3 linked regions of the Oryctolagus cuniculus genome follow. The protein of the gene in region 2 binds, or shares a complex with, the protein of the main gene of each other region. Links are inferred from orthologs where the notes say so. Each region holds a gene or a part of one and is shown on either strand. Other genes may lie near its edges.

Region 1 (4,199 bases), on a different chromosome or scaffold from region 2:
CTTTTCAGCCCCCTCTTCTCACCCTTCGGATCTGTGTCTGGATGGGGCAGTGCACCATCCTGCCCAGCACTTTATCTTCAGGATCCAGTTTGATGCAGGCCAGGCATTTCCGCTTCCTCTGCCGGGGGGGGGGGGGGGGGGGGCGCATGGGATGAGGAGAGGAAACTAGTGAGAGAGACAGGCAGCACTCCAAGGATGGAAGCTGGGGGCTGCCCACAAAGGAGGCCGGCTCCCCTGGCAGGCCCTGGTGTGGAGGGGCAAGAGGCCTGGGAAATCTCAGAAAGCAAGCAATCCTACAGTTTTCAAACTATGGAACTTTAATGTGTGTAGGCAGGAATCGTTCCATACAAGTGTATTTGCACACATGTGTGTGTGTGCGTGCGAGCATGTGAAGGCAAGAATTGTCCCCAGATGGGCTCTCTCCATCTGACTTCCACTAGAACTACTCTGCTGCTACCTGTTTGCATTTCCTCGTGCGGTGTCATTGGAACCAACACCCTGGAACTTTTGAGAAAATCTACAGAAGGAGCTGAGGTCTTCATGGGACTTACAAAGCCCGGGCCTGTGGCTCAGAGAGTGGGAACCAGAACCCAGAAAGCTACACTCCAGCCCAGGGAGGGTTCCCACAGTTGCAGATGTGCCCTAAGGTGGCTATTGACAGTTGAGGCTGGCTGTGAATCTGCCCAGGCCAGGGCCATCTCCACCTGCTGGCCTGGGTGTCAATCAAACCTTATGCCAGGGGCTGCTTCTGCCAGTGACCTAGGCCTGAGAGGCACTCAGAGGTGGACCTCACCATGATGAAGACGAGTCCTCAGGGTCACCCAGCTCTCTCCCTGTCCACCCTCAGCCACAGGATGAGCCCCTTCTGTTTTTAGGGAGGCTCCTCACAGCAGGGTCTCCCACCTGTAGCCTCACTCAATCTCCTGGTTCCGCACACTCACACCCAATATGTGGTCCGAGACACGCAGCTTCACTCACCCCATTGGGCTTCACTTTGCATTCGGGTTTCTTCCAGTCCTTCTTCCGGCAATTCGTCTGCTGAAGCTTAAATTCCAGTCTCACAAAGGTTCCAGCTGGGAAGGGCTGTGGACGGACAGACAAGCAAGAACAAGACAGGAAGTCCAGAAGCCAGCAGAGTGGGCAGAGCGGCTCTGGATGTGAGATACACACACAGTGAAAAGTACAGTGGAGGAGGTGGCAAGCTGGGGGCTCACAGAGCCCAAGCAGTTCTGTGCCCACTTCCTGGGTGCTTTATGGTCTCCCAACGTCAGATCTCCCCATTCCCTGCCAGGGCCATGCTCCTAACCGTGTCCACGGCACTGTCCACACCAGTCTCCTGGAAGGCCCACTGCACAGGCGGGTGCTTGTGGAATTCCTCCAAGGCCACCTGCAGGCCCCGCTGCTGAGCCCTGGTGAGCTCAGTACTGCTTACACCCACCACGCCCAGCCACAGGGCCACCGGGATCAGCAGCCGCCGCATGGCTTCACCTCCGTCTCCCTGGCCCTGCAAAGCAGTGTGTGCCGTCCTCAGCCTTGGTGCCAGCTAGGGAGTCACTTCCTCCCCTGGCCTACCCCTCTGGGAGCCATGCCTGCAGAGCTGTGGGCAGAGGTGGAGGAACGGGGCACTGGCTCTTTGCCGGAATGGCCCTTTCATTCACACCCCCCTCCACCCCCCCACCCCCGCGCGCCCCTTCCCGGCACTGTTCCCTGGGGCCAGCAAAGTTTTAGCCAAGTTCTCTGCCAAGAGCCTGGGAAGCAGTCCTTCTGCCCATCGGTCTCCTTCACTTCTTTCCCCCTCCCCACTGGGGGTCTGATTCCCTGCCCTCTGCTGTTCACAGAGCCCCTCTCTGCTTCCTCCCCCCACCTCAGCCCGCAGCTCACCGCTTGTCCCTCCCAAGTTTCGAATCTCCTGGCTCCTACCCTCACCGGGAGGCCGACAGCAGGGGAAGAGCAAGGGCTGGAGAATGAATATTTTTGGGAGGACGTAAACACATTGGGAAAGGAGTGTGCGCCCAGGGCGCGGGGAACTGCGGGGTGCTTAACCCTCCTGGCGCTGGCCTTGCCCCTTGCCATCAACACCACCCCTGAGTCCAGAAGGCGGGCGGCTCACCCGGGCCGGGCCCCCCCTTGCCTTGTTCTGAGGCCGGCCAGTACTCTTCGCCCCCCCTTCGGATCCTGTCCCCTAGTTCACGGTTAGGGCTGCCTGAGGGGGTGACATCGCCTAGAGCCCTGCCCGTACCGGTGGTCTTGGGACCAGAAAGCCACAGATGAGGAAGCTGAGGCCGCCTCCGTGAAAAGCTGTGGCTGCAAAGCAAGGGCTTTACCGTAATCGGACCCCGGAGCCGTTCCTCCGCCGCCCGCTCTCCTCCCGTCCTCACCTCCCTCACGGAGCCTTCGGGGTCTCTCCCCGCCCTCCCGCGGGACTCTTGGCCTCGGCTGTCAGCCCTCCCGTCTCCTCGCCCCTCCCTCCGCCCCGCAATCCCACCTTCTGGCCCCTCCAGCAACTGCGGCTCCTCCCACCCGGGCGGGGCCCCTTTCCAGCCCGCCCAGCTCCCTTCGGGCTGGGTCGCGCAGCTGGACCCTGACCGCGGGCCTGGCGGCGCACCCGGTCAATCAGGCCACCCAGGGAGCACGCCCGGCCCAGCCCAGCCCACCTCGTTCCCAACCCGCCCGGCTTAGGGGCCAAGCCTTGCACGGTCTCTCAGGGCCGGGCCCCTGCTCCCTGCAGGTCTTTCCGTGTCCTGCCCAGGTAGGACTGCGTTTCCTTGGGTCCTTCTGCAGTGCCTTCCCGGAAACAGACTCCCTCAAAGCAGAGGAGCACTTCAGGGGCCCTTGGGGTTCTTGCCCTGGCCTCCCGCGCCCTAAACCGCACGGAGGAGGACGGTTCTTCCTTCTAGGCTGCCCCTGGTGTCTGATAGCCTCTGTCCCTCGCAGAGACGCCCAGTCTGGATGCTGCCTGCGCCTTCCCTGGCCCACTGCTCATGTCCCATCCTTGGCGACAGTAGCCTCGGGGGCCTCCTTTGGGGTGTTGGGAGCCTTCAGGGATGGTGGAATGGCATGCTGGGGGAGACTCGGAGAAGACTGTCCACGTGTGAGCCCAGCTGCTGGAACTAAGCCTGCAGAAGCTCTGGGACTCTGCCTGTCACAGCAGCCGCCGTTTATGGAGTTCCCAGCCCCGCGCTAATCACCGGAAACACAGGCTCTTGCTTAACTTCCTGAATCTATCTGAGCTTTTATCTGTAAAATGAAGATCACAAGCCTTAGCCTAAAGGGTTGCATTGATGATTAAATGGGGAAACGTGGAAAGTGACTGAGGATGCCCAGTGTGGAGCACACCCGTGCTTGTCCCGTCCCTGCCCACCCCCTGGTGGCAGTCCCAACCAATGAGCTTTGGCAAACAAAATATAATTCATTGTCTTTTATTTCTTTCAACAGTTCCTTGAACTGGCAATAATTCATAGCATTTGCACTTAAACCCAGAATAGCTTTAACAACTGCATTTATGATACTTGGAGAATCTGTTCAGACAACAAATGACTTCACTGTGTACTACGCAGTGGAATGAAGTGACATGGAAAGCATCAAAATTAGTTTATTTAAAATGTATGAGGGGGCCAGTGCTGTGACATAGAGGATAAAGTCACTGCCTGTGGTGCTTGCATTCCATATGGGTGCTGGTTCAAGTTCTGGCTGTTCTACTTCTGATCCAGCTCTCTGCTAATGCACCTGGGAGAACAGCTGATGGCCCAAGTCCCTGGGCTCCTGCACTGACATGGGAGACCCAGAAGAAGCCCCTGGCTCCTGGTTTCAGATCAGTCCAGCTCTGGCAGTTGTGGCCATTTGGGGAAGTGAACCAGTGGATGGATGGTCTCTCTCCCTCTCTCTGTAACTCTGCCTTTCAAATAAATAAATCAATCTTAAAAAAAAATGAGAATACTTCAAAAAGTTCCTGAAAATGGAATATTTTTAAAAAATATTTATTTATTTATTTGAGAAGCAAAGTTACAGAAAGAGGTAGAGAGAGAGAGAGAGAAATATCTTCCATCTGCTGGTTAACTCCCCAGATGGCTGCAAAAGCCAGGGCTGGGCCAGGACAAAGCCAGGAGCCAGGAACTCCATCTAGGATTCCTTTGTGAGTGTCAGGGGCCTGAGCACTTGGGCCATCTTCCACTGCTCTCCCAGGAACATTAGCAGGGAGC
Region 2 (2,909 bases):
CGTAGCAGGTAAAGCTGCCACCTGCAGTGCTGGCATCCCATATGGGCACTGTTTTGAGTCCCAGCTGCTCCACTTCTGGTCCAGCTCTCTGCTATGGCCTGGGAAAGCAGTGGAAGATGCCCAAGTCCTTGGGTCCCTGCACCCACGTGGGAGACCAGAAGAAGCTCCTGGCTCCTGGCATCAGATCAGTGCAGCTCTGGCCATTGAGGCCAACTGGGGAGTGAACCAGTGGATGGAAGACTCTCTCTCTCTCTCTCTCTGTAACTCTGCCTTTCAAATAAATAAATAAATGGCTTTAAAAAAGATAAGCTTGTCTTACTGGGAAAATGTTTGAAATCCATGCAAGGCTTCAAAAAATAAAAAGTCATGGAAATGCATATTATGAAAAAACTATGTGTGGCTTTCAAAATGGATTTGCAGCCAAACAAACCTGCCTTTTAATTCTTCCCTGCAATGAACTCTGGGGCGCACCCCGTGGAGACGCGCACAGGCAGCAGTGGGGTCGAGAGCAAAGTGGAGGTCATGGTTACGTTTATGTACTGGACAGGAAGCTACACTCAGACCGGGAAGACCCGGGGCGGCCAGAACCAGCCAGGCCTGGCTCCGAGGGGGAAAACAGCCGGCCTGACGTTCGCTTCTGCTGATAACAAGATTCCTGGCTCCCTCAGGCTGGCCAGGCAGAGCCCCACCCCAGGGCCTGGGAGGACGTGCGCCTCTGCGGACTGCGCTGGGACCTGGGACAAAGCCCACGCTGTCCGGGCCTCGGCTGCTGCATCAGGAAACTTGGGGATGGCGATGACAGGGGACGCTGGGTCCCGGGGCTATTCCAAGTTCAGATCCCGGGAGGCAGCCGGAGGCCTCAGTGTGGGGTCACTTCAGAGCCACCTCGTCAGGTGCATCCAGAGCCAAGGACAGAGGAACAGCTGTGTCTTCACAAGATGTGAGTCCAGGAGCCCAGCGCCGGGCCTCCGTGACCGATGCTCCCTGCGTCTCGCTGGAGAAGTGGCTTCACGGGTAGAGACCAGGGTGTGGGCGCGTTGAGACCACGGGGCCGAGGGCACACAGGGGCTGCCTCCCGCCAGGCCCCCTGCCCCAGCCTGCTCTCAGCAGGTGCAGGAGGTGGAGCTGTTTGCGGGCTGCCCATGTCAGGTCTTCTGGAAACAATTCACAAAGCTTCTTAGAGGCCACGTTCATCTGCTTCAGACTAAGCCCCGGTCTCCCCAGTTTCCTTCCTGACGCTGCCTGGCAGACGGAGACTCAAATCTGGGCTCTGGCAGAGACCAGCTGGGCGCTTCTGGGTAAGTTACTTAGCCTCTCTGAGCCCCGGGTTCCTTGTCAGTAAAAGGGGAGTGAGACTTGTACCTAACGGGGGGTTGCTGGGAGGAATAAATGAGATAACACGTGTAAAGTGCTTAACATAGAAAGTGCTGTCACTCTCCAGTCTAGAAAATTCTCCATAGAAGAATGTAGCCAGACAGAGCCAGGGCTGGATCTGGTCTCTGCCACTGACCAGCTGTGTGGGATGCTGGGCAACTTTCCTCCCCGCCCCGGCTGGGCCTCGGCAGTGACACCCTCGGCAGGTGCCGGTGCCGGGTGAGGACAGTGGTGCCACGCAGGTGCACACAGGCCGTGTCTGCGGTCTGCATTGCAGGAGCCACCATTCCCGGAGTCGCCGCAGGCTCTGCTCGGAATGCCGTGCTGAGTCCTGGGACCTCCTCCTCTGCCTGGGAGGCCGCCGAGGTTGCTCCCTGAAGCTGCACGTGGGACCAGTCTCCAGTCCCACCCCTCCTGCCCCCACCCCGAAGGGTGATGCTGCAAGCTGAGTGGATTAGAGGAGGAGGGAAGAATCCCAGCAAGAGGGCGGGAGCTGCAGGTGTACCCCCCCACCATGGCCCCACTGCCAGGTAACAAATGCTGGGTGAGAGCAGGGGCTAGGGCTGGGGGCTGGCACCCCCACACCCCTAAAATCCTGCAGTTGAAAGCACCATCGCCCCAGCTGCTCCACGTCTGCCTCCTTCGAAGGGGTCTTTGCCCCTCCTGTCCCATTCCTTCTCCGAGGCCCGCAGCCCTCACTGACCCCCGTGCCGGGAACTTGCAAAGGGCCCACATGGAAGCCATAGTCCCAGGAGTTCAAGGGTTAAATTGTGCCACCTTCCTCTCCCAGGCAACCTGTGCATTTCCACCCAGAGGAAGGCCTCGAGGGGCGGGACTTCTGGCTAATGATTGACGATGGCTGACATCCGTGGAGGTGGGCAAGGTGGGATTGGCCTGGCACTGGGCTTCCTCTGACCTCCCTGCCCACACCAGGAATGGACCTCGGAGGTCGTTTGAGTCATCTCTGGGGCACACACAGTAGGGAGCTAAATCCACCTGCCTCTTGCCCACCCCGGTCGAAGTCCTGACAGCTCCTTTTTTCAGAACGCATCCTTCCGTTGGCTTTGAGTTGGTCAAGGCAGGTCTCCCAAGAAGCACCGGTTGCGGGTCCAAGGCTGTGTCATGGCAGACTCTCCCACTGTTCCATCCAAGCCCTGGATCCCCAGTTCTAAACACCGCCCTCCCCCAGGCAAAATGCAGTGGGCACTCAGGGTGCTGAAGAGGTTCTTGCCTTGGTCTTCTGTCCCTGGGGGATGAGGGGAGGTGGGCGCCCCCCGGGCGAGGCTCAAAGCATGCTGGTCTCCCTCTCGTTCATCGATGTCCTCTCGTTCACGGACGACATCTTGGTGAAGCTCCTGTGGCTGGGGAAGGAGGAGTGGCCGGTGTCTTCGCTGAGGGCATTGACCAGGCGGGAGAAGAGGGTCACCTTGAACTTCTTGAAGTCCTGCCCCATGAAAACGTACAGGATGGGGTTCATGCAGCTGTTGGCGATGGCGATGGCAGTGGCCAGGGGCACACCCAGGCTGAAGACGGAG
Region 3 (3,645 bases), on a different chromosome or scaffold from region 2:
GTGGGAATGCAAACTGGTCAAGCCACTATGGAAGTCAGTCTGGAGATTCCTCAGGAACCTGAATATAACCCTACCATACAACCCAGCCATCCACTCCTTGGAATTTACCCACAGAAAATTAAATTGGCAAACAAAAAAGCTGTCTGCACCTTAATGTTTATTGCAGCTCAATTCACAATAGCTAAGACCTGGAATCAACCTAAATGCCCATCAACAGTAGGCTGGATAAAGAAATTATGGGACATGTACTATATAGAATACTATACAGCAGTAAAAAAAAATGAAATCTGGTCACTTGCAAAAAAATGGAGGAATCTGGAAAACATCATGCTGAGTGAAATAAGCCAGTCCCAAAGGGACAAATATCATATGTTCTCCCTTATCAGTGACAACTAACTGAGCACCAAAAAGGAAACCTGTTGAAAGGAAATGGACACTATGAGAAACAGAGACTTGAGCAGCCCTTGTCCTGACTGTTGATGAACAACTTAATACTTTATCCCTCCTAGTATTTTTTTTGTTCTACTTAATAGTATTGATTGAACTCTGTAATTAACACACAATTATTCTTAGGTGTTGAAATCTAACTGAAAAGTGATCCCTGTTAAATATAAGAGTGGGAATAAGAGAGGGAGGAGATGTACAATTTGGGACATGCTCAATCTGACTTGCCCCAAATGGTAGAGTTAGAAATGTGCCAGGAGATTCCAATTCAATCCCATCAAGGTGGCATGTACCAATGCCATCTCACTAGTCCAAGTGATCAATTTCTGTTCACAATTGATCATAATGATAGGACTAAGAGTCAAAGGGATCACATAAACAAGACTAGTGTCTACTAATACTAACTGACAGAATTAAAAAGGAGAGAAAGGTCCGACATGGGAAGCGGGATACACAGCAGACTCATAGAAGGGCAGATGTCCTAAACAGTACTCTGTCCTCAGAATCATCCTTTATGACATTCAGATCTGGCTGAAGAGCCCATGAGAGTATTTTAGGAGTGGAAAGCCAAAACACTCTGGCAATGAAAGAAGGAAAGAAGGAAAGAAGGAAAGAAGGAAAGAAGGAAAGAAGGAAAGAAGGAAAGAAGGAAAGAAGGAAAGAAGGAAAGAAGGAAGGAAGGAAGGAAGGAAAGAAAGAAAGAAAGAAAGAAAGAAAGAAAGAAAGAAAGAAAGAAAGAAAGAAAGAAAGAAAGAGGAAAAAGAAAACCTAATTGAAAGATCTCTGCAAGTGAGATCCCAGTGGAAAGAACAGGCCATCAAAGAAGGAGCTACCTTTCTCTGAAGGGAGGAGAGAACTTCCACTTTGACTATGACCTTGTCTAACTAAGATCAGAGTCGACAAACTCAAAAGGCTTCCATAGCCTGGGCAACTCAGGACAAGAACCTAAGGTGATTACTGATACCATAAACAAGAGTGTCAATTTGTTAAGTCAACAACAGGAGTCACTGTGCACTTACTCCTCATGTAGGATCTCTGTCCTTAATGTGTTCTACAAAGTGAATTAATGCTATAACTAGTACTCAAACAGTACTTTACACTTTGTGTTTCTGTGTGGGTGAAAACTGTTGAAATCTTTACTTAGTATATACTAAACTGATCTTCTGTATATAAAGAGAATTGAAAATGAATCTTGATGTGAATGGAATGGGAGAGGGAGTGGGAGATGGGAGGGCTGCGGGTGGGAGGGAAGTTATGGGGGAAAAAAGTCAATGTAATCCATAAGCTGTACTTTGGAAATTTATATTTGTTAAATAAAAGTTAAAAAAAATTTATGACAGTTATTTTAATAAAAAATCAAGGGAAAATGAACCATACACTGATAACAGCCTTGAAGCTAATAGATTAAGCAAGCAAAAGCAGGCGGGGTGGTGAAAGAAGAAAAACAAACTGTCATAGGCAAGGACCAGGGCCATTTCCAGTGAAACTGGAACCAAGTCTCCGAGCCAAACAAGGACGCCCAGCTCGAGCTCCTGGTGCACACCAGCAGCATGGCACTCTCTGTCACCTAATTTCCTTGGTTCCCATTTTATTACCTGGTAAAATAACGAAGTGGGACCAGCTTGTCTCCAACAGTCCTCTTCAGCTCTAAAACTCTGACAAATGCTTCTAATAGTCAGCATGTCCCTTCTCTGATGATCAGCAAACTTTTACACTGTGTCTATCATTTGCAATTAGATTGTTTTTTTCAAAAAATTATTCTGGCATGATTACAAATAATTAGATCAGGTCAGTATTCCAAATTAAAAAAAACATGTTGAGAATTGCTGGTGTAAGCCATTTACCCCATTCACTACTAAAAACAGTCATGGAGAGAGAGAGATACCCACTGTTTATACAACTGCAGTTACTGTTCAATTGTCTATGCCATGGGATGGATGAGGAGAGTATAGCTATAAAGGGGAGTTCACACAGCCCTGTATATTATTCTTCCACTCACTTCTAGAGCTCTGGCTCACTTCCCTCATTCCTGCCATCCTGACTCCCATGATGAGTCCAGACAAGCCTTTGTCACATGGTATTGTGCAATCAGGCAAGTTACTCATGAGGCCTGCTCATCTCTTACCGCCCGAGCTGAGTCGCCGAAGTCTACCTTCAGCCTCCCCATGGCCCTGATGATAGCGATAATGGACTGGATGGTGTTGCTGTAGACCACGGCTTTGTACTGTTTACACTCCTCTTCCGAGTAGCCGGCTTCATGGATGATTCTAACCAGTGGACAAGGAAAACAAGACACTGACTTCCTTTGACAAGAGATGACACTTGAACAAATTTAATATTTTCAATTTACTTACTTCATCTGCTTCACAATTGTGCTTTTCCCGGATTCACCAGCACCTAAAAAAAGACCAAATCAAATCAAATCAGGGATTTCGGACTTCAGGATTATCACATGTATCTGACTTCCAACACACACACACACACACACACACACACACTCTCTCTCTCTCTCTCTCTCTTGTTTCTTACAACTGAATTGTTTTCTATTAAAAGGAGATAAAAGCAGTAAAAATGTCGGATGAGCAAATCTAAAGATCTAATGTATAAAATGAGGACTATAGTTAATAATACTGTGCTGTATGGGGCTGGCCTTGTGGCATAGTGGGTAAAGCAGCTGTCTGCAGTGCCGGCATCCCATATGGACACCATTTTGTGTTCCAGCTGCTCCACTTGAGATCCAGCTTCCTGCTAATGACCCAGGAAAGCAGCAGAAGATGGAGCAAGTGCTTGGATCCCTGCGCCCATGTAGGAGACCTAGAAGAAGCTCCTGGCTACTGGCTTCAGCCTGTCCGAGAACTGGCCGTTGTAGCCATCTGGGGAGTGAACCAGCGGATGAAAGATTCTCTCTTTCTCTCTTGCGTTTCTACCTTTCTCTGTGTGACTCTGACTTTTGAATAAATAAATATTTTTAAAAATACTGTGTTGCTGGGGCTGGTGCCATGCATGGCTCACTTGGTTAATCCTCCGCTTGTGGCGCCGGCATCCCATGTGGGCGCTGGGTTCTAGTCTCGATTGCTCCTCTTCCAGTCCAGCTCTCTGCTGTGGCCTGGAAAGGCAGTGGAGGATGGCCCAGGTGCTTGGGCCCCTGCGCCCACATGGGAGACCAGAGGGAAGCACCTGGCTCCTGGCTTCAGATCGGTG

Evidence for each region.
Region 1: the proteins of CMKLR1 (region 2) and RARRES2 are in contact, whole or in part, in a cryo-EM structure (PDB 8ZJG), measured with the Homo sapiens proteins. The link is inferred for Oryctolagus cuniculus from reciprocal best matches to the Homo sapiens genes CMKLR1 and RARRES2. Residues at the interface, in NP_001135815.1 of Homo sapiens: Asp20, Tyr21, Leu22, Asp23, Ser24, Ile25, Val26, Val27, Leu28, Phe88, Leu92, His95, Tyr103, His104, Asn116, Leu119, Ile120, Met123, Arg178, Leu183, His184, Gly185, Lys186, Ser188, Cys189, Phe190, Asn191, Trp203, Thr205, His217; in NP_002880.1 of Homo sapiens: Leu34, Phe37, His38, Phe60, Thr75, Ser76, Cys77, Arg96, Leu111, Gly112, Arg113, Leu114, Val115, His116, Cys117, Pro118, Ile119, Thr133, Leu136, Arg137, Gln139, Arg140, His146, Ser147, Phe148, Tyr149, Phe150, Pro151, Gly152, Gln153.
Region 3: the proteins of CMKLR1 (region 2) and GNAI1 are in contact, whole or in part, in a cryo-EM structure (PDB 8SG1), measured with the Homo sapiens proteins. The link is inferred for Oryctolagus cuniculus from reciprocal best matches to the Homo sapiens genes CMKLR1 and GNAI1. Residues at the interface, in NP_001135815.1 of Homo sapiens: Asn74, Phe78, Arg137, Ser140, Val141, Pro144, Val145, Ser147, Gln148, Asn149, His150, Arg151, Ser152, Val153, Ile243, Lys246, Leu247, Leu252, Ala253, Lys254, Lys257, Pro258, Ile261, Ile262, Met319, Gln321; in NP_002060.4 of Homo sapiens: Glu28, Ala31, Arg32, Val34, Lys192, Asp193, Leu194, Asp315, Phe336, Thr340, Asp341, Ile343, Ile344, Lys345, Asn347, Leu348, Lys349, Asp350, Cys351, Gly352, Leu353, Phe354.

Annotation. Positions count from the first base shown.
Region 1 is NC_091438.1:23,677,226-23,681,424, reverse strand, and holds the start of RARRES2 (retinoic acid receptor responder protein 2), read right to left. Parts: upstream 2,880-4,199; 5' UTR 2,655-2,879; intron 2,648-2,654; exon of another isoform or gene 2,305-2,647; 5' UTR 2,240-2,304; intron 1,958-2,239; 5' UTR 1,882-1,957; intron 1,505-1,881; 5' UTR 1,481-1,504; coding exon 1,307-1,480; intron 1,084-1,306; coding exon 979-1,083; intron 119-978; coding exon 23-118; intron 1-22. UniProt on the Homo sapiens protein: Adipocyte-secreted protein (adipokine) that regulates adipogenesis, metabolism and inflammation through activation of the chemokine-like receptor 1 (CMKLR1). Also acts as a ligand for CMKLR2.
Region 2 is NC_091452.1:17,522,879-17,525,787, forward strand, and holds the end of CMKLR1 (chemerin-like receptor 1), read right to left. Parts: coding exon 2,660-2,909; 3' UTR 515-2,659; downstream 1-514. UniProt on the Homo sapiens protein: Receptor for the chemoattractant adipokine chemerin/RARRES2 and for the omega-3 fatty acid derived molecule resolvin E1.
Region 3 is NC_091434.1:144,874,671-144,878,315, reverse strand, and holds part of GNAI1 (guanine nucleotide-binding protein G(i) subunit alpha-1), read right to left. Parts: intron 2,842-3,645; coding exon 2,799-2,841; intron 2,712-2,798; coding exon 2,570-2,711; intron 1-2,569. UniProt on the Homo sapiens protein: Guanine nucleotide-binding proteins (G proteins) function as transducers downstream of G protein-coupled receptors (GPCRs) in numerous signaling cascades.